4 separate regions of the Mus musculus genome follow, and all the other regions are reported to be linked to region 3. Evidence: microRNA targets listed by miRTarBase, many of them from high-throughput screens and not tested one by one. Region 3 holds a microRNA gene; each other region holds the end of a gene's coding sequence.

Evidence for each region. Region 3 holds the annotated microRNA mmu-miR-124-3p (UAAGGCACGCGGUGAAUGCC, at 1,920-1,939, opposite strand). A microRNA usually pairs through its seed, bases 2 to 8, with sites in the 3' UTR of a target mRNA and lowers its output. Matches are read on the target gene's strand: a 7mer-m8 pairs with bases 2 to 8, a 7mer-A1 pairs with bases 2 to 7 and ends in A, and an 8mer does both.
Region 1: miRTarBase lists Jpt1 as a target of mmu-miR-124-3p. The part of its 3' UTR that is shown has no 7-base or 8-base seed match.
Region 2: miRTarBase lists Fzd10 as a target of mmu-miR-124-3p. The part of its 3' UTR that is shown has no 7-base or 8-base seed match.
Region 4: miRTarBase lists Cul4b as a target of mmu-miR-124-3p. The part of its 3' UTR that is shown has no 7-base or 8-base seed match.

What each region holds. Positions count from the first base shown.
Region 1 is chr11:115,493,636-115,498,706 of GRCm38, reverse strand. Jpt1 (Jupiter microtubule associated homolog 1) reads left to right here. Exons shown (of 5, transcript NM_008258.2): 5 at 408-1,362. The coding sequence ends at 556. Among named protein-coding and RNA genes, the nearest start is that of Nt5c, 4.4 kb to the right of the region's middle.
Region 2 is chr5:128,602,521-128,607,591 of GRCm38, reverse strand. Fzd10 (frizzled class receptor 10) reads right to left here. Exons shown (of 1, transcript NM_175284.3): 1 at 3,499-5,071. The coding sequence ends at 4,626. Among named protein-coding and RNA genes, the nearest start is that of Fzd10, 4.0 kb to the right of the region's middle.
Region 3 is chr14:64,587,576-64,592,647 of GRCm38, reverse strand. It overlaps Mir124a-1 (microRNA 124a-1), which reads right to left and starts at 1,991; the gene lies at 1,907-1,991. Mir124a-1hg (Mir124-1 host gene (non-protein coding)) reads right to left here and starts at 4,533. Exons shown (of 4, transcript NR_040709.1): 1 at 4,494-4,533; 2 at 3,681-3,871; 3 at 2,689-2,807; 4 at 1-2,375. It overlaps Mir3078 (microRNA 3078), which reads right to left and starts at 1,463; the gene lies at 1,377-1,463.
Region 4 is chrX:38,529,585-38,534,655 of GRCm38, forward strand. Cul4b (cullin 4B) reads right to left here. Exons shown (of 23, transcript NM_028288.5): 23 at 2,032-4,144. The coding sequence ends at 4,049. Among named protein-coding and RNA genes, the nearest start is that of Cul4b, 44 kb to the right of the region's middle.

The DNA.
Region 1 (5,071 bases), not on the chromosome of region 3:
TTGGGATTAAAGATGTGCATCATAGAGTGAGTTCCAGGACAGCTCAGGCTACACACATAGTGAGATCCTGACTCAAAAAGAAAAACAGCACAGGGTGGCACTGTTAATTCCGCACAGAGGCAGAAGCAGGCCAGTCTCTAAGAGTCTGGGGCAGAGTGACTTCTGAGACATCCATGGCTACGCAGTGAAACCCTGCCTCAAAAAAACTAAAACCAAACAAAAACAGGTGTTATCCGTCTGATCCTGTTTTTTGGATAATGGAATCTTGGGCTTTTGAAAACCACATACATACACAACTGAGGAGGTAACACACTGACAGGTTCCATTTCTGGGTACAATTACCTCAGTTGGTGACTGTTGATATTTTTTTTCCACTTGTTTGAACTATTTTGAAACTGTTTTCTTAGAAAATGTGGACACAGACTTCCAAGCCAACCTGGCGCAGATGGAGGAGAAGCCAGTGCCCGCTGCTCCTGTGCCCAGCCCAGTGGCTCCAGCCCCAGTGCCATCCAGGAGAAACCCCCCTGGCGGCAAGTCCAGCCTGGTCTTGGGTTAGCTTCTTGTGTTGGAACTCTGTCCTTCTGTCTGTCTGTTTGTTGTCCCATGCTTGGGAACTGCACAGCGTGAGCTGACTGTACATCTCTCGGATTGGTTTCATTAAAGGAGAAGCACTTTATGTACCGCTGTCTTTCCCTGCTTCCTCTCTTCCTTTCCTTCTGTCTGTCTGACTCCTGGGTCTGTGCGCCATGGCATGAGTGTTTTCTAGTAGTAGACTGGAGTAGTAGACTGTTTCTAAGAACAGATGATCTGGTTCCTGATGTGTAGAGACTCTTATGTACCAGGGTTTTTGACGATGTCCTTGGCTTCATGTGATGGGACCGACAGCAGCCTCAGGCACTACCCTGCTCCCAGCTCCACAGGGTGGGCACCACTCAGCTTGCCTTGCACTTGCCCCACCATCGGTGCCCTTTGCTAAGTGCACCTTCCTGTGCCATGTGGAGTGATCAAACAGCTGTACCTCACATCCTGCTGCCTGCAGAGCAGACAAGCTGCCTTCTGTACCCTGAAGATGCCATTGGCCACTGTGGCTGGCCAGCTGCGGGGCAGAGCCACCCAGCGCAGAGGATGGCTTCAGGTACACAAGCAAGCTCCCTGGAATTGCAAGGTGAAGCACACAGGAAGGCCGTCCGTCCCAGAGTGGGACTGTGGGCGCAGCTCCCACAGGGACCTCCTTGACGGAAGAAGTGCCATGTGCATGATGCTGATGCCTGACCATGGAGAAAGTCTCACCCTTGACACTTGTACTCCTTAGTCCTGGACTGTTGCTTAAAGTAAACAATACCCACCTTTTGAAGCACCGTGTTTTGTCTTTCTCTTTTTTGGGGGGTGCGGGGGGAGTGAGAGAGTGAATGTGTGCGCGCTGTGTAGCTGAAGCTGCCCTTGGACTCCACCTTCAAGTGCTGTGTAGTAGATATGCACCACCATGCCCAGTTTATGTAGAGGTGGAACCCACTGAGGGTTTCCGACAGTTCCCTGCACGCCAGTGGAGTTGCTGGAAAGATGGCTCAGTGGTTAAGAGTCCTGGGATTCTCATCCAGCGACTCTGAGTTCAAGTCCCAGCACCTCGTCAGGTGGCTCACTTCTGCTTGCAATCAGCAGGAGGCCCAGGTGCAATCCTCCTCCCTCCTGTAGCACCCGCGCCCGCATATGTAGCATACGCTCATAAAGACACATGTCTGGGTAAATAAGTTAAAATTGCTAAAAAACAAAAAGCCGGGCGTGGTGGCGCACGCCTTTAATCCCAGCACTCGGGAGGCAGAGGCAGGCGGATTTCTGAGTTCCAGGACAGCCAGGGCTATACAGAGAAACCCTGTCTCGAAAAACCAAAAAAAAAAAAAAACAAAAAAAACCCAAAAACAAAACAAAAAGTGCAGAAGTGCAGTGTAATGAAAGTCCAAGGGGAAGTGGAATTTTCTTCAAAAATGCAGGGTAGATTTTTTTCTTTTGAGACAGATTGTCGGGAGAGATGGATCAGTGGTTAAGAGCACCGATTGCTCTTCCAGAGGTCCTGAGTTCAATCCCCAGCAACCACATTGTTGCTCATAGCCATCTGTAATGGGATCCAATGCCTTCTGCTGTGTTTGAGACAGATTGTAGCTCTTGGTTTGAGTTAATGTCAACATTGCACAGCTGTAGTACTGGGCTGTGCTCCACCATAGCTGCCCACTAGTACAGGGCTGTGCCCCACCATAGCTGCCCACTGTAGTACAGGGCTGTGCCCCACCATAGCTGCCCACTGTAGTACAGGGCTGTGCCCCACCATAGCTGCCCACTAGTACAGGGCTGTGCACCACCATAGCTGCCCACTGTAGTACAGGGCTGTGCCCCACCATAGCTGCCCACTGTAGTACAGGGCTGTGTACCACCATAGCTGCCCACTGTAGTACAGGGCTGTGCCCCACCATAGCTGCCCACTGTAGTACAGGGCTGTGCCCCACCATAGCTGCCCACTGTAGTACAGGGCTGTGCCCCACCATAGCTGCCCACTAGTACAGGGCTGTGCACCACCATAGCTGCCCACTGTAGTACAGGGCTCTGTACCACCATAGCTGCCCACTGTAGTACAGGGCTCTGTACCACCATAGCTGCCCACTGTAGTACAGGGCTGTGCCCCACCATAGCTGCCTACTGTAGTACAGGGCTGTGCCCCACCATAGCTGCCCACTGTAGTACAGGGCTCTGTACCACCATAGCTGCCCACTGTAGTACAGGGCTGTGTACCACCATAGCTGCCCACTGTAGTACAGGGCTGTGCCCCACCATAGCTGCCCACTGTAGTACAGGGCTGTGCCCCACCATAGCTGCCCACTGTAGTACAGGGCTGTGTACCACCATAGCTGCCCACTGTAGTACAGGGCTGTGCCCCACCATAGCTGCCCACTGTAGTACAGGGCTGTGCCCCACCATAGCTGCCCACTAGTACAGGGCTGTGCACCACCATAGCTGCCCACTGTAGTACAGGGCTCTGTACCACCATAGCTGCCCACTGTAGTACAGGGCTGTGTACCACCATAGCTGCCCACTGTAGTACAGGGCTGTGCCCCACCATAGCTGCCCACTGTAGTACAGGGCTGTGCCCCACCATAGCTGCCCACTGTAGTACAGGGCTGTGCACCTCCATAGCTGTCCAGGATGGGCTTTTCTACCTCTGATCCTTTGTGTAGGATCAGACTAACATTTAACACTGTCTTAGCACCGGGGCAGATGTAGGAGGCCCTGACTTTGAACCCCTGCAGCTGTCCTGGAACTCACTTTGTAGACCAGGCTGGCCTCGAACTCAGAAATCCGCCTGCCTCTGCCTCCCCAGTGCTGGGATTAAAGGCGTGTGCCACCATGCCCGGCTTTTTTTTTTTTTCCCCTGCAGCCAGTCTTTTCTGTTCCCTTGTCACCTTCACTGTCATCCCATCCCATCATGTGTTCCCACCCCCAATACCAAGGTAGGTTTCTACCTTGAGATCAATAATGGCTAGTGTTCAGTGATGCAAGCTGCAAAGGGAGAGTCCACATAGCTACAACAGACTGCCACACAAACAAGGTGACAGGAAACTTTCTGGGGTGGATGGACAGGAAGGTTCAGGTTGACTGTCACAATGTCCACTTGTGTTTCTGACAGGCTGGGCTCCCTTGCTGGTTATTTGAGCCTAGTACTTACTGGCAAAGCCAGACCTTGGAACTGCTAGGTGTATCTTTAAGAGTAGAGATTACAGGGCCGGAGAGATGGCTAGCAGTTAAGACTTTACTGCAGGGCAGGAGCAAAAGAGAGCTAGATGTTCTAGAGGTCCCAAGTTCAATTTCCAGCAACCATATGGCGGCTCACAACCATCCTGTAATGGGATCTGATGCTCTCTTCTGGTGTGTCTGCAGAGATGGACACATACTCATAGACATAAATCTTTTAAGAAAGCATAAACTAGGTTGTTCTAAAACATTTTACATGTTTGACTGACAGCTGTAGCCTACAATCATTTCTGTGTACTGCAACAGGCTAGCTTGCTGAATGGGTGGGCCATGGCTTTTAAAGGCCTGATTTTCCACTATGAATCTCAGGGAGTAAACCTGTACCCATCCTTCTGAGCCTCCGAGCAAGGGTGGGGCTCCTGGGAAGGGAGTTACCTGGCTGGTGTTCTAACTTGACAGTTGGCCTTAACTTTTATTATAGAGATAAGCACCTGGTGGCAGGTGTTTTGAGGGAGTGGAGGTTCAGCCAGACTCCATTATTGGAGCAGATTTTAGGGGACTGTCTGGAAACATTTGTAGGAGGGGGTTTAACACCCCAAGATAGAAAAGATTCTGTAAAGTCAGATCTTCAAACCATTTTATAAATGGGGTTCGTATGCTTGCTTGGAGGGTTGCTTAGTGCTAAAGAACATTTGCTGGGCCAGGCAGCGGTAGCACACATTTAATCCCAACATTCAGGAAGCAAAGGCAGGTGGATCTCTTGTGAGTTTGAGGCCAGCCTGATCTACAAAGAGAGCTCCAGGACAGCCAGGGCTATGCAGAGAAACCCTGTCTCAAGACAAGAGCATTCACTGTCTTGCAGAAGACCCAGGTTCAGTTCTCAGCACCCTCTTAGCAGCTCACAGCTGGTTCTAACTCTCGCTCCACGGCCTTGAAGCTTGATGGCCTCTGAATGCTTGCAAGTGGCGCACAGATATTCACGTGAGGGGGCAGAGGTGGAGGCAGAGGTATCTGGAATTAGTGGCAAGCCCAGGTAGGGAGTGAATTTGAGGCAAACTTGGATGCATAAAACCCTGTTGCAGCCGGGCGTGGTGGCGCACGCCTTTAATTCCAGCACTCGGGAGGCAGAGGCAGGTGGATTTCTGAGTTCGAGGCCAGCCTGGTCTACAAAGTGAGCTCCAGGACAGCCAGGGCTATACAGAGAAACCCTGTCTCAAAAAAACAAAAACAAAAACAAAAACAACAACAACAAAAAAAACCCTGTTGCAAAAAAAGTAAGGGGTGTGTGTCCAGGAGATGTTGGGAGAAGCCTGAGTTAAATAGGGTAAAGATA
Region 2 (5,071 bases), not on the chromosome of region 3:
TAAGGGTGGCTGGGCAGGCAGGTTGCCAGTGGAGGATGGTGCACATAGCTAACAGTGTGTGTGTTTGGGACTCTGAGGGTAGGGATGGGGCAAATGCAGAGGTTCTCGGGATACCATGAGAGGGTGTTTTCCTTGTTTTGAGTAAGGCTCTCCCTATGTAGCCCAGGCTGACTTTGAGCTGGCAACTGACCTACCTCAACTTCACAAACGCTAGAATTTCCGGCATGCATCACCCTGCTTTTACAGGTCCTTAAAACAGGTAAGAATAGCCTTTAAGATATAGTCTAGTGCTCAGGTTGAGAACTCTCCCTCCAAGGCCCCCAGAAGCCACGACCTTCTAGACGGAGGCAGGTGCCAGGCAAAGAATGGCTTTGAATCCTTTCATTGACACTAAAGCCCCTGGAGGAGAGGCTGGGAATCCCCATTTTTTAATTAAAAATGTCTTCTAATAAAAGGCAAGATACGATGCCTTCCGAAGGTTCCCACAGGCTGCCGAGGACCTGCCAGCGCTCCAACCGTGTCATTTTCCTAGGGGTGTCCCCAATTACAACAGCTCACCTACCTGATAGCAACTCATTCTTTTTGGATTTCAAACGCCTCAGTCCCTCCTCCCCCCAGCTTGGCCTTCCGCACTCTTAATAAAACATGAAAACCCCCAGCCCCGTGTCATCCCGGGGCTCCCCTGCAGCCTGTCTGCGTTTCTCATCTTCCAGCTGTTGCTGCTGGGCCATCCGTTTGCTTGGGGGAGGAGTCAGCACAGAGCCCTTGTCCCTGGGAGGTGACTGTGATGTGAGGGTGTTCAAAGACACAGAGCTAGGGTCTCCCTCACCGGGGCGAAGCCACTGCGCCGCCTTTTACACTTGCAAGATCAGAGGGTATTCTCTGGAATCCTGTGCCTGGCGTCGGAAAGTGTTCCCGTAAGGAAAGCTCAAAAGCTCATTCTCTTTGGAGACCATTAGCGAGGCATGTTTGACTCTCCGAGGGGAGGGGCAATGGATGTATAAGTAGGCCTGGTTTCTCCATTGTGGCACTGGACTGTTCTGGGCTTAGTGCTCATCTCATATCCTGGCTTAGTCTAGGAATTATCAAAGGAACCTTGAATTTGAACCCCTAGTTCCCTGTCAACACTGGAGTGTAACAGTGTATTCATGATCCCAGTGCTAGAGAGGAGGCAGAAACAGGATTGCCAGAGTTTACTGGCCAGTCTAGCCAGGGTGACTAGTTTAGTGAGAGACCCTGAGTTCAAAAAATAAGCTGAGACCTTAGGCTGGACTCCGGAGCCCTTTGAACCTTGAATTTCCTCGTCAGAGGGCTGGACATACAGACACCTGGTGCTTCTTGGATCTCCCCACCCCCGACGCCATCTACTGAAAAGATCACTTCCTGAACCACTGGTCCAGAGAGGCTCTCATATCTGCCTGGGCTGTGGCCACAGCTGTTCTCCCCATTCTTTCCCTGTGTTGTGTACTGACTGGACAAGACACTGTGCTTGGTGTGGGGTATATAAGGGGCACCAGCTAGACCCTGCCTATCACTTTCTCAAAGGGGTGTTCTCTTTCCTACCTTTGCCCTTCGCATGACCCCAGCAGCTTCACTTTTCTTGCAGGCACTTGTGCTGGGTCTCCCAACCACAGGGGGGACCCCTGGCTCAGGATATCTCCCCAATATTTGGAACTCAGGAGACGTGAGCCGCTGTCTCCTCTATGAGGCTATGGTTTCCCTAAGTCGGGCTCTCTTAACATGTGAGCAACAGCTGGTGGTAGGAGATCAAGAACTGAGTGCTTTGAGACCTTGACATTCACCTTTTCCGGGCCTTTTTTTGTTTGTTTGGTTGGTTGGGGTTTTTTTTTTTTGTTTTGTTTTGATTTTCTTGGGGTTTTTTGTTTGTTTGTTTTGTTTCGTTTTGTTTTGTTTTTTGAGACAGGGTTTCTCTGTATAGCCCTGGCTGTCCTGGAAGTCACTTTGTAGACCAGGCTGGCCTCGAACTCAGAAATCCTCCTGTCTCTCCATCAGCATGGCTGTGGTCCTGGAGTGAAGCCTACAGTCTCCAAATTAAGGAAACAGCAGTTCCCTTTCGAGGTCTGGACAGAGCTGAGGGGGAGGGGATTGGGTGGGGGGGTGGGGGGGTGTCCAAAGATAAGTGGTGTGTTTGTGTGTCTGTGTGTCTGGGTGTAAGCTTTCTAACTTTTAAGCTTTGATGTTTTTCTTTAAATCTACCATCTGGTTTAGAACTAGAGTTCAACTGCAAGAGACAGACTGATGCAGGTAGAGAGACGGATGAAACAAGAGAAGGTGCAGGAAACAAATACCTTAGAAGCTCAGGCTGTTCTCACTATGGCCCAAGGAGCACATGTTAAAAGCACACTTCTGGCCACTTGTTAGTCTCTTGATATTTGTAAACAGGATCCCTGTCACTGTTGGGGATGGGGCCACCGTCAAGCAGGCTCACAGCTGAACAAGGCCTTATCATGTTCTTGGCTGAGGCATTGCTCTGTATGAACTTTCAAAACCTATACAACTAACCACTACAGCTCAGGGGGGCAGATGAGCCTAGGTCTGGCCAGTTGCCACTCCAGTGATCCTCTCTCTCTCTCTCTCTCTCTCTCTCACACACACACACACACACACACACACACACACACACACACACACACTCACTCTTAGTGTCTCTTCTGGTGGTAAGGACAACAATAGTCAATATAGAGGTTTATTTCCATGATTCTGGGTTCTGGGTTTTATGCTCACCGATGGCCCGGCTGCCCAGCATTGATTTCTAGAACTTGTTCCCCAGACTACCCAATTCACCTGTCCTTCCTGCTCAAGGACCCATGGCCCTGTGAAACTTCCCCAATACTTGCTTCAGAAAGCCACGATCAAGCTGGTATCTCTGCTTCAGAAGGGCTCAAATAGTTTAAAGTGCTTCTGAGCTATGAAGGTCAGAGTTGGGTAGGTCTACACTGACCCCTCCCCCCCAATTTCTCAGAGCTGAACTGTGTCCTTGGGTCCTTCTAGCTAGAACTTTAGCTTAGTCAAGCCTAGTGGATCCTGGGTCTGCTCCAGGGCCTATAGCTTGTCTTAGTGATGAGAAGAAAGGGTACCAGAAACTTCAAGGTGGCCAAGCTTCTGAATTTGTTGCTGATGACCCTCCCCCCACCACACACTTAGTCCCACTTTCACCTATCCAGCTCTGAAATGTATCCCATGGCCCCAGAGCTGCAGTAGAGTGGTCCACTCAGACTGGTGCACACAGTAGGTCAGGTAAAGACTGCTGCATCCTGGGTGAGTGTGGTCTCGGCATTCTGTGTATCCATGGAGCCTTGGGGGCAGAGTCACCGCCACCTTTTCCCACAGCCAGCACACAGGCCTCTGAGCCCCAGGATGTTTTATTTTGCCAGCTTGTATCCAGGTTCATGGTCCATGTCTAGCCAGCCTCGCACACCCAAGAATCTGCTAAGAAATGGAGAACGCTCCCCTCACCAATGCACAGTGACTAGCAGCAAACTAAAGAATGTCTTTTATTTTTAATAAAATAGTGGAGCATGAAAAATATCCTATATTACAGATATACAGAGGCAGGCATGGCCCTCCCTGGCTGGAGACAAAGTTTGTCTTCCCAAGTGCTTCAAGACCACTCATGGAAATCATTTGTTTAACAATTCAGAGAGTCAATAAGCCCTCTGGTGCTCTCCACTGGCTTCCCCCCCTCCCCCTTCCTCTCCACAAATCAGTCCCAGTGTGTAGAACACACTGGCTTGGTTTCCATTAAAAAGCCACAAAATGTATCAGGCTGAAGGCGCCCCCCCAACCCCCAACCCTGAGGCTTGAGCCTCTAAATTCTTTTGTTAGATGATTTCTTTTCTTGCCTTTTATTTACAACAAAATACTTTTTCTCTCTCTCATTTGTTTTGCTAGGGAGAGGGGGAAAATGTAAAAAAAAAAAAAAAAAAGTATTGCACACCATTTGAATTCTCCAGTGTTAGATCTGCAGTGGGGTGAGAGGGTAGCGTGGGCTCTGTGTTGGGAGAAACATGGCTATGAAGGCTGGGGAAGTGACTCTCTTTTAAGGGATCTGCAGGCAGACCTTGGGCTGGGGGGGGTGTCACCTCTTTTATCCCCTCTCCTCCTCACCTTCCCTCCCACCCATACAGCAGCCTAGCTGGGGGAGTGAGGGAGGGAGAGCAGGCCCTTGGGTGGCTCACTGGCTGCCCCCCCCCCCCCCCAGGAAAGCTCTTTAGCTTACAAAGGAGCTCTCCAGCCTCAAGTTTATGCACAGGCAGCAAAGCCTTCTGAATACACAGCTGTGTGCTTGAGGCCTAAACAAAAGTTTTCTGGAGGGCGGTTGAATCAACTACTTTACCACAAATTAGTTACACAAGAGGCTCCCTCCTTAATGAGCGACCCTTCAGGGAGGCAACAAACTGAACAGAACCCTTTACATTCAGCTGTTCTGAACCTCAAGGTAGACTTCATGTATGTGTAAATATATGCATATATATGCACATGCATACACATACATGTATATATATATACATATTCTTTTTACTTTGATTTACCAACAACCAGCCAACCAAGAAAAGCTGCCCATTTGGGCTCCGAATGTCCTGTTCTTGCAGCCAGCTCTGCCTTCACACGCAGGCTGAAGGCTGGGCGGGCAGTTCATACTTCCCAAGGTGAGGTTTTTGGGGGTGCTGGGCTTTTTTGTAGATCCCTGCACTGGTGACCACACTGGCTGGTTTCCTCCGGCTTTTTCTCTTTAGCCCCCGGCTGCATACGTGTTGCCAGGACTGCAGGGTCTTGGAAGTCCAGACCCACACCCCACTGGTGATGCCCACCACCAGCAGCATGGACACTTTGACCATGAAGACCTCCACGGCAGGGATGGAGGTGGTCATCAGGCAGTCAGGTGTCTTGGTCTGATTGTTCATCTTACACTTGTGCTGGGTGGCCAGCATCTTCCAGTAGTCCATGTTGAGGCGTTCATAAAAATAGCAGGCAATCACACAGGTGGCCGGCACAGTGTAGAGGAGGGAGAAGACCCCTATGCGTACCATGAGCTTCTCCAGCTTGTCCG
Region 3 (5,072 bases):
CAGGGGGGTTGGGCCATCATCTGCTTAGGCCATTGCTTGAAGGCAAAATAACATCTCAATGAGCACGGGGGGGGGGGGGCAAATGGGTGTACCCCCAAAATGGTACAGCACACTAGCCGTTCTCTTCTAACCCATTTGTGAAGTGAGGGAGCACCCCAGGAAAGGGCCAATTTTTATTTCAAGGGAGGTAGATTTTCTCGAAGCAATGGCTATGGCGTCTCTTAGGACAGCCATTGTGGCTGGGTCTTTCCCTTTCTGCCTTGAAAGCAGTCTGGCTTGTCCGGTAGGACTCAGCCAGAGACACCCTCAGGGTGTGGGCACTGCAGCTTTCTGCCTGCAAGAGTAAGCAGGCGGTGGCTTATTTCTGCAGAGCGGGAGAAGGTTCTGGGAATGCCTAGGTGGAATGTGGTAAATTGAAGCTCAGCCTGGCTAGCTCTAACATTCTCTTCTGTGAGGAAATTTAGAAGTTGAAATCATCGTAAAGAAGGACACATAGTAGATACTCAAGAAATAATGAATACTCTTGAGGAAACTAGGCCAGAGAGGTACTGATCTATGATATACCCTCAAATACTAATTTACTAGACTAGATGAGGCTGAGGCTTTTTGAGACAAGAGTCCTCCATTAACTTCAACGGATGCTCTTTTAGACCCTGATTACTGTGTTAGGAATCAGATTAAACTCCTAAACATCCTTCATGGGCTTGGCCTTGCAAAGGCAGGCCTCTGGCATGACAGCAGGGGGGAGGGCTACAGCCTGCTTCCTGGGGGTGGGTTGTGGGGGGGGGGAGGAGGCCAGCTCTTGGCCTCCTTTCCCTCCCTCTGCTGCTGGGTCCTGCCCCTCCTCCATTTACTCCACCTGAAAATTAATGAGTTTAGGTCGGCCACCAGGCCATCATCCATCCACTGCAGGTTGGCGGAACACTGAGATGGAGACGGGATGGAACTGTGTCGGGGGCCTCCAGGACCAGCTGCTGCTGTTGGGGGCTGATTTGGGAAGCAGGTGCTTCAGGATGAGGGAGGATTAACCCTTTCTGTTCCTGGACAGCCTGCTTCAAAACAGACTTTCCTTAGGCCTCCACCTTACTCATGCTGATTTTCCTTCTGTCTTGGGGTTTTAAGAGCGATGGGGAGAGGCCCACACTCTGGGGGCTGGGGGTGGGCTGCGCCTCCTTTTCCTGTAGCTTCTGGATTTCTGCCTGAAACTTCAGCCACAGCCCCAAGGAGGCTGGGAGGCCCTGCTTTAGAGCAGTGGGCTAGCTGTCAGTTTTGATGGAGTCTGTGCGCTGTCCATGAACAAATTTGCCGATCGCCTTCGCTCACTCCAGAGATCTGTTTAAGCTTGTCAAATGCCCACAGCTCTCCACCAACGGGTGACAAACAGCTTCCCCTAAAGACTACCCCAGCAACCCCAAGCACAATACAAGGTAGCTGCAGTCTAGGCTTTGGGGCAGTCTGCCAGTCGCATGGGTACTTGGTTATTATTATTTGTTTAAGGGTAATAAATTGAAATCCGGAACTAAGACAGGTAGGGATGAAGGTGTCGGCCTTCTACAATGGGCAGGGTCCCAGAGCTGAGGGGCACATTTTACTCTCCAGCCGTCCCCAGGCTATTTTCTGCCGCCGCCGCCGCCGCCGCCACCACCACCACCACCCCCCCGCTTGCATAGATCCGTGTTTCTGTCACAGAATGAGTTGTTTGCTTCCTAGATTCTATTTGCATCTGCACAAACCCCTCTCTGTCGGTAGCTGCACACCTCCCCACCCTAAGGGCTACTTTGCGAGGCACTCAGAAGCCTGCTACCCGTACTGTGGGCGCCTGCAGCTGCAGCGCTGAGATCTGCCCAGGGCGTTGTGCTGGGTCGATCCTTCCGTGGCAGGCCCTCGTGGACCCAAGGTGCTCAGACAGCCCCATTCTTGGCATTCACCGCGTGCCTTAATTGTATGGACATTTAAATCAAGGTCCGCTGTGAACACGGAGAGAGAGGCCTTTCTCCTGAGGAAGGAAGAAGGAAGGAAGGAAAGAAAGAAGGAAGGAAGGAAAGAAAGAAGGAAGGATGGAAAGGAAGGAAGGATGGAAGAGAGGGAGGATGGGAGAAAGGAAGGGAGGAAGAAAGGAAGGAAAGGTGGAAAGAAAGGGAGGGGATGGGGAGAAGATGAGATGAAAAAAATGAGAGATGAGAAAGAAAAAGCTGGCGACGCGTGCGTGTGCGTGCGCACTGACAGCAGGGAGGGTGTGGGGTTGGGGAACGCGATGAGCTAAGGACCACCGCATCCTTCCTACCGCAGCTCCCCCAGTCACAGACAATGAGATAACAGCCACGTCCTCCGTAGGCTCTTTGTTCTCCCGCATCCTTTCGTTTCCAAGCTTTTTCCTGCAAAGGGGAGGGGGGTGGAGGGTTCGGGATGTGGGTGGAAGTGGGAGACGGAGGGGTGCCTCCCCCGTGTTAATTACCCCGACTCCCTCACTCCTCTCCTCGCGCTTCGCCTCCCCTGCAGTTCCAGACAATGAAAAAACATCAACCCCACCTCGCCCCACCGCAGCGAATCCTACCCACCCAGTTCGCTCTCAGCTTCGCCTAGGAAACTGAGGGGGGCCAGGAGGAGGGAGATGACGGAGAGGAAAGGGATGGGAAGCAGGGGCCCAGCTACTGCTGCCTGGGCAGGGCTTGTGACCGCCGCCTTTACCTTGAGTGTAGGGTCCGGGTGTAGCCTGGCCGGGCGTGCCGCAGGGCAGAGCTGCTGCGGTCCCTTACCAGGATCTGTGGGAATCAGCCTTCCGGAACTCTCCTGCTGCGGTCCTCTCGCTTAGGTCCCAAGTGGTGGATGGGAAAAAGGAAAAGAAAAAAAAAATAAATAAATAAGAGCGAGGCCCATCTGGCCCCTCATCAGCCTTGTCAAGTCTTGCATACGCTAAAATGCTAATGACCTAGATAGCTCATGCAAAATGCAGCAGGGAGGGACAGAGAAGGAGGGGGAGCGAAGGGAGAGCGAGAGAGGGAGGAGTGAAGGGAGAGGGAGGGGGAGACAGAGGGAGGAGGGAGACTGGGAGGGGGGAGGGGGAAAAGAGAGAGAGAGAGAGCGCGCACCCCTACATGTTCCCCCACCCCACCCGTCAACCGGTTTTACAGAGGTAAAGGGTGGGTGTAGATTTTAAAAGGTCACCCCTATAGAATGTAGCTGGGTGGGGTGGGGGAGAGATCCCCAAATCCATAGGGACAATAAAATATTATTTTAAGACCCCTCCCTCTCTGCTCTCCATCACTCTGTTTACACACAAGTCCAGTCACCTTATGCATGTACATGTCAATTTCACAAGACTGCTTTCAACAGACACCCACGTTGCCATTCCCTGAACAAACCCACCCAGTGCACCAGAGTGAGGAAGGTGCTTCCTAACCCACAGACCTCCCTCACCTGGTCCATCCCACTCCCTACTAGTGCCTTATCCTTTCAGGCAGTCGTCCCCCCCCCCCCTTTCTCTTTTCTAAGCCTTCCCCATTCTCCTTCCCAATGGCTCAAAAAAGCCAGGTAGAGGGCATAGAGGACAAGTTAAATCTAACTGGATCGGTTCCGTTCAGCTTCCCACCCACCCCACAGGGTTGGGGGACACAGTCTTTACCTAACACTGACCCTTTTAAAGCATGCCACAAAAATCAATAAAATTGAGTCCGAATAACCTCAGAGGTCCGCAGGTCCGGCCGGGTACTGTTGGGCAGCGTTGATCTCTCCAATCGGGGAGCCAGAGTTCCGCGCGTCCCAAGACGCTTTGTCCCGGAACCCCCGCACAATATCCTCATCTTTTTGTTCTCCTTTAAAGGATCCTGGTTGCAGTCCGCCGCGTTTCAGCCAGTCCAAACCAAAGGCGGATCTATTGGAATAAAAAGGGATGGGGATAATATACACGCAGATGGATGCGGGAGAGTAGTGGAGGCTAAAGTCAGCCCCGCAAGCAAGGAGCGGCCTCCCTGGCCAAGCCCCAAGTGCTTCCTCGGCTATTGAAGGGAATTGCTGCTGGCAGGCGCTGATGCTGGCTCCACCTGGCCGGAGGAAAAGCATCCTGGCGATGACCCTGAAAGAATTAAGACACAAAACCAAAAAAAAAAAAAAAAAAAAAAAAAAAAAAACCCCAAACCGAACCAAACCACCAAAACAAAAAAGCAAAAAGCCAGAATCCTCCTCTGGTGAACCAGAGCACGCGTGCAGAAGAAACCGCTCTGCTGGTGGCCGCGGTCGAGGGGGAAGGATGCTAGCGCAGGAGGCGAAGGTTGCAGAGGCTGCACCCTCAGATGAATAATAATAACGCGCTGAGAAGTTGCAGTGCAGCTTGGAAATCCAGCCCTGCGCGTGAACTCGCGTCGAGTGCGGATTGCAGGGGATGGGGGAGAAAGGGGGGGGGGTGAGGAGAGAAGAGAGGGGGAGGGGGTGAGGGGATTGAGAGGAAGACAGAGAGAGGGACGCAGAGAATTTAGTGCCTTTTCTTTTAGTCTTACCAAGAGCTGATCTCCTTCACTGTCCTCGTTGGGTGAGGCCGAGGTCCTTTTTAAAAATTATTATTCCTTTAACGGATTATTCAGCTAAGAGAAGCCACATCTGCTGACAGTTCCGAAAACAAGAGGATTAGGAGTAGGTCCACAGAGCCCGGCCCGCAGCCCCCCCCCCCCCCCTCTGCACCAGCACACGTCACTCTCACTGCCCCCGGGCACCTCCCTCTCCTCGCTCGGTGTTCGGGAGGGTTGTGCCAAGAAAAATGCGGATTTGGGGAAAGTGAGAAGTGGGGGTGCTCTCACGAACGGGAAAGCCAAGGCCGGAGGTGGCGATTCGCACCCCCACACTTACACTCGCTTCCGTTTATCCGTTTAGATCCTGGGAGAAGTGGGTGCTTTCACCGCACCCACACGCGCCGCATCTGCAGTGGTCAGAGCCCTCCGATCCCTTGAAGCCACCCTGGCCGCCCCAGACCCTGCCAAAGTCCTCTGGGTGGACTCGGGGGGCTCAATCCTACCCCTGCCTGAATAGCTTCATGGTCTCCAGTCCTCTTTTTCTCAGTCCCCTCCGTGCAATACCGCCGC
Region 4 (5,071 bases), not on the chromosome of region 3:
AATAATAGGTGCTGGAAATGTTCTAAAACTACAAATAACTGCACAGCACTGTGAACACACTGAATGTCTCAACTGGATATTACATGCTTCGAACGGTACATTCTTATGTGTATTACCACAATAGAAAATTAAAAATGGAAAGATGTTATAGGAATTAGAGAGTGAAAAGATGATTTTGTAGCTTGTAAAAATTGCAAAGTTCTAATGTGTCCAATAGTATACATTCTTATATTCTATAGCAAATAAGGTTTTATAAAATGAATTGGGTCTTTTACTATGCTAGACAATACTCTTAAATATTAACTATAAAAGTATATAATGTATCCGTTCAGAAGAACACTTGAATAGCAGAAGAAAAAATAATTGAACAAGTGTATGATTTGAACCAGATCACTATGCCAATGTGAAACAGGGCTTTTGGGCTTTATTGCTGTTTCTCCGATAGGGCCTCATTATGCAGCCCTGGCTGGCCTGGAACTGACAAGTCCATCCACCTTCCTCTGCCTTCCAAGGACTGGGATTAGTGGCATGAGCCACCAATTCTTGCTTGACCTAAAGCAAAATCTTTGTAAGCAACTGACCCAAAAAAAAAAAAAAAATCCAGGCTGGAGAGCTAGCTCAGTGGTTAAAACTGCTCTCCCAGAGGTCCTGAGTTCAATCCCTAGCAACCACATGGTAGCTCACAGGCATCTGTAATGGGATCCAATGCCCTTTTGCAGTTTGTCTGAAGACAGCTGCAGTGTACTCATAAAATAAAATGTAAAAAAAAAATCTTTAGTGAAGCATTAGAAAAGGACACTTTTAAAGTGCACTTATGGATAGGGGTTCTGGAGGGGGGACCCAGCAAGGGGAAAACATTTGAAATGTAAATAAAGAAAATATCAAAAAAAAAGTGCAGCTATATAAAGTCCCAGTATCCTTGGGTCTTTCTTCTTTATAAGCTATTTATTTTAGCAATTTTATGTGAATGAAAAAATGAAGTATGTATCTTTTTGTCATGTGTAAAATTATACAGGGTGGTCATTAAAACAGACAAAAATCATACAATGAAAGATGTGCTTAGAGGCTGGAGAGATGGCTCAGTGGTTAAGAGCACTGACTGCTCTTCCAAAGGTCCTGAGTTCAATTCCCAGCAACCATATGGTAGTGGCTCACAACCATCTGTAATGAGATCGGATACTCTCTTCTGGTGTGTCTGAAGACAGCTACAGTGTACTTACACTAAATAAATGAATAAAAAAAAAACAAAAAAATGTGTGAGACAAGACATGGTGGTACACAGCTATAATCTGGAAAAATTATATGAAATAGCTGCTCAGAAAGAACTGGGAAGTTAACTCTAAATACTGTGTACAGTCAAACAGTGTAAGTAGACAGCACTTAGAGCCCAAGTCAGGAAGATCACATTATTTATGGACTGCTTGGGCTACACAGCAAGACTCAGTTGCAAAGACATAAAAGATTTATGGATATCAGAACATAAACTTATAAATCTTAGATACTGATGGCTACATAGAATAAACTGGTTTCCTCCCCTGTACAAACACACAGACAGACACACACGGTAGCAAAGATGTCAAGGTTACGGCAGAGTCACCATTCAGCAGACTCAGGAACTGAATTAGAAACCATTGAACATGTGTGACTGGATTTTTGGTTCAGAACAGAACAACAAGCACCACAAGAAGCATGTCTTCTTTTTCTTCCAACTTCACTCTAAAGTACTTCTATACTGGCAGGAAATTGCTGACTTTGAAAGTTTGAAGGAAACATATTTACACGTGCCCTTGATTTTTCTAAAGTGGAAATAATTGTCTACTTTGAGAATACTGGAAAATTTACTGTCTTTTTACCATAACCTCCTCCACAGTATCTCAAAACTACCAGTAAAATAACAAAGAGAAGTATAAAAATAATCAAGTATGAATTGTCAAATGTGAATTAAGGAAGTCATTAGGAAGATTTTATGTATTCATTCTAATTTACAATTTTTTCACAATATTTCGAGTTTAAATATCTTCCCCAGAAACATTTTTTTAAAATAAAAGTTTTATTGGAGAAAAATAGAACCACCACACATACACAGGGAAGAGCACAAAAATTCAACCGATACAGAACAACTGAAACTCATAATAATCCAATGGAGTTTGCCATTACTTGTCAGTTTCATAAACAGTTTCCCTTAGTAGTCTGGCTAGCTTTTCAGCTGAAACACCGTCAAGTTTTTAAAGAATTAAGAACTTCAGGACAGGCACCCACTTTCAAGATAATGAAGGTGGTATCAAGAGCGTCCTAGTAGGAACAAACCTACCTACAAATTCTTTTAAGAGTAACTAGTGAGTGGTGTAATAGTCTCCATATCCCAGAGACCAACACAGGGATGAATTACAACACTGATGTTGATGATCCAGTAAACATAACAGCCACATTCCTTGTCAGAAGAGCTCCTGTAAGGAAATCAGGGAGGAGCTGGAAAAAATATACGAAATAGCTGCTCAGAAAGAACCGGGAAGTTAACTCTAAATACTGTACATAGTCAAACAGTGTGCAAGTTGATGCATTAGAGAGAAACAGGCAACTTAAAAAATACAGATAGCTAGCCACAGGTCTTTGAGAATTCAAGAAAACAATAGCAGACATAAGAGCCCCCAAGTCTTCGGAGCTGAAAGTATGCCTAATTGCTCCATAAAGACAAAGATATGTGCTAGTGGAGAAAGCACTGAAGAAGTTCTAATGTAAAAGAAAACACAAAAACAGTCTGCTTCTTTGCCATCATCCATTTCCTCCATGGAAAGAGAAACCAGGAAGCAAAGCAGAGTCCTCTGGTGAGGAAGAAAAGTCTTTTACTCACAGTTTGAAATTGAAAAACAATACTTTCCTTACTTTCTGTGTGAGACCAATTTGGAGACACTTCCTGAACAGCAAGTGTCCAATGTCTATAAAGAACTCTTAAATTCAAGCAATTAAAAAAAAAAGGACTACAGAACTTGAAGTTTTCAATAGGGAGTGTGCAAGGAAGACAAGGGAGAATCATATGTTGAGTTTCTCCAAATCAGGAGGCGCATGACAGTAAAAAAAAAAATCATTTAGTAGAAAAAACTGGAATGCAAATCCTAGGAAACCTCTGACAATTGACGATCCACCCAACTTAAAGACGGCAGCACGACCCAAACATTTAACCACTGAAACATAATGAAAAGCAGCTGGTACATTTTTACTCCTGCAACTTATAAAACTTATTTGTTGATTTTGGTCTCCTGTGATTTTCATACTGTATTCAGTTTTAATAAAAGGACCTGGGTTTTCCCCTCTTGCTATGTTCTTGTAGTACAAGACGATCAGCAAATTTTCTATTTTAATAAGTTCCTGTTAATCAGCACAGTGAATGTGGGGCTAAGTCTTATGTACACATCCCAGAGTCCTAATGGGAAACCTTTAGGATGCGAATATATAAGGTACGATGGAAGGAACTGTCACCCTACTTGAAAAACTTGTTTCCAAATAAGATTATTTCCCCTTCAGTGTAACAGAATGCCAACAACAATGAAAACTTACTTTTCTTTTCAAGGGAAACCACAAAATGGGTAAACAACCAAGTCAAGGGTGGTTTTTCTATTTGATAAATACATCCAGAACTCTGTACAGTAAATAAAATTTGCATGCAGTTTAAGTATCTTTAAATGACTTTTAGGCAAATAAACCTTTTGCTTTATTAATGATGTATAAGAATCACCCTCCCCCCTTTTAATGGCCATAGGGATCTCTTCCCCAGTTCCAAAAGGAATCATGAAGACCCAGGTACTTTCTTAAAGAGTTTTCTGCACATCATACTAAATAACATGCATAGAATTCAACAACATTCTTCTTAAAAGTTAAGTATTACTCTTTAAAATGGGTATGTTAACCACTGAGAAAAGTCCACACAACTATTCCCATTACACTGCTTCATTTGGTCATCAGAAGTATAAAAGAAGTCAAATAACATGAGATTCAACAAATTAGTTTATCCAATGGCTACAGCATTATGACAAGTTCCAAGGCCAACATTCTATGCAATATAGTTGTACTGATTTGGATTTTCTTTATCTCTTTCCATGTAGTCCCGGTCAATGAGGGATTCTATTCTCTTCTTAAGATCAGCAGGCTGTAAGGGAAAGCACACTTTCAATGCAAAACTCAGAAGCACCAGCTTAAGTCCATCCACCAACATCCCGTTAAAAGAGAACAAAGGCCAGAAGTGACTGCACAGAGGCAGGCAGATCTCAGAGTTTGAGGCCAGTCTGGTCTACATAGTGAGCTCCAGGACAAGCCCTGTCTCTAAATTAAATAAACTTAAATTAAATGTAGCTGGAGCATTGTAGCATACTTCTAAAATCCCAGCAAGTAAGAGGCCAGAGCCAAGAGGATTCAGAGGAACACCTGCTTGGGGTACACAATAAGACTCTGTCACAAACAAACCTGAAATTAAGTAAATAAACAATTAACACATGAATTAAAAAGTGTAAAAGAAATTACTATATGACCTATATAAAATACTGGACATACTGGCATAAGCCTACATAATCCTTGCTACTTGGGTAGCTTGAGGAATGGCAATAGTGAGTTCATGAAAGTTGGCAAAAAAGTCAAACAAAATGGCTGGGGCAGTTAAGGCTTTTACCAGGTGGTACAGTACTTGCCTAGCATATGAAAGGGGCCTAGGTTCTACTCCCCAATACCACACATTCACACAATTACAGGAAATTTGGGAACGTATCATATTAATTCACCTCTTTATGTTTCTGGTTTACTATGAATTTTAATTTATTTAGTTAAGTGATTTGGACCTCTGAATCTTGTAGTTAAAATTTCACTATGACATGAATTCATTTAGAACTGGGCATGGTCAAACATGTCTATATTCAGACTCAGATACAAAGAGAACTGAAGGCCAGCCTGGGACGTATTAGATAGACCTTGTCACAAACACCACCAACAAAGTCTCAGGGCTTCTTAGCGTGTACTACTCTTGAAGTCCAGCTCTGGCACCAATGCCAGGGTTCACAAGTGCCTGTACCTCCAGCTCAAGGTC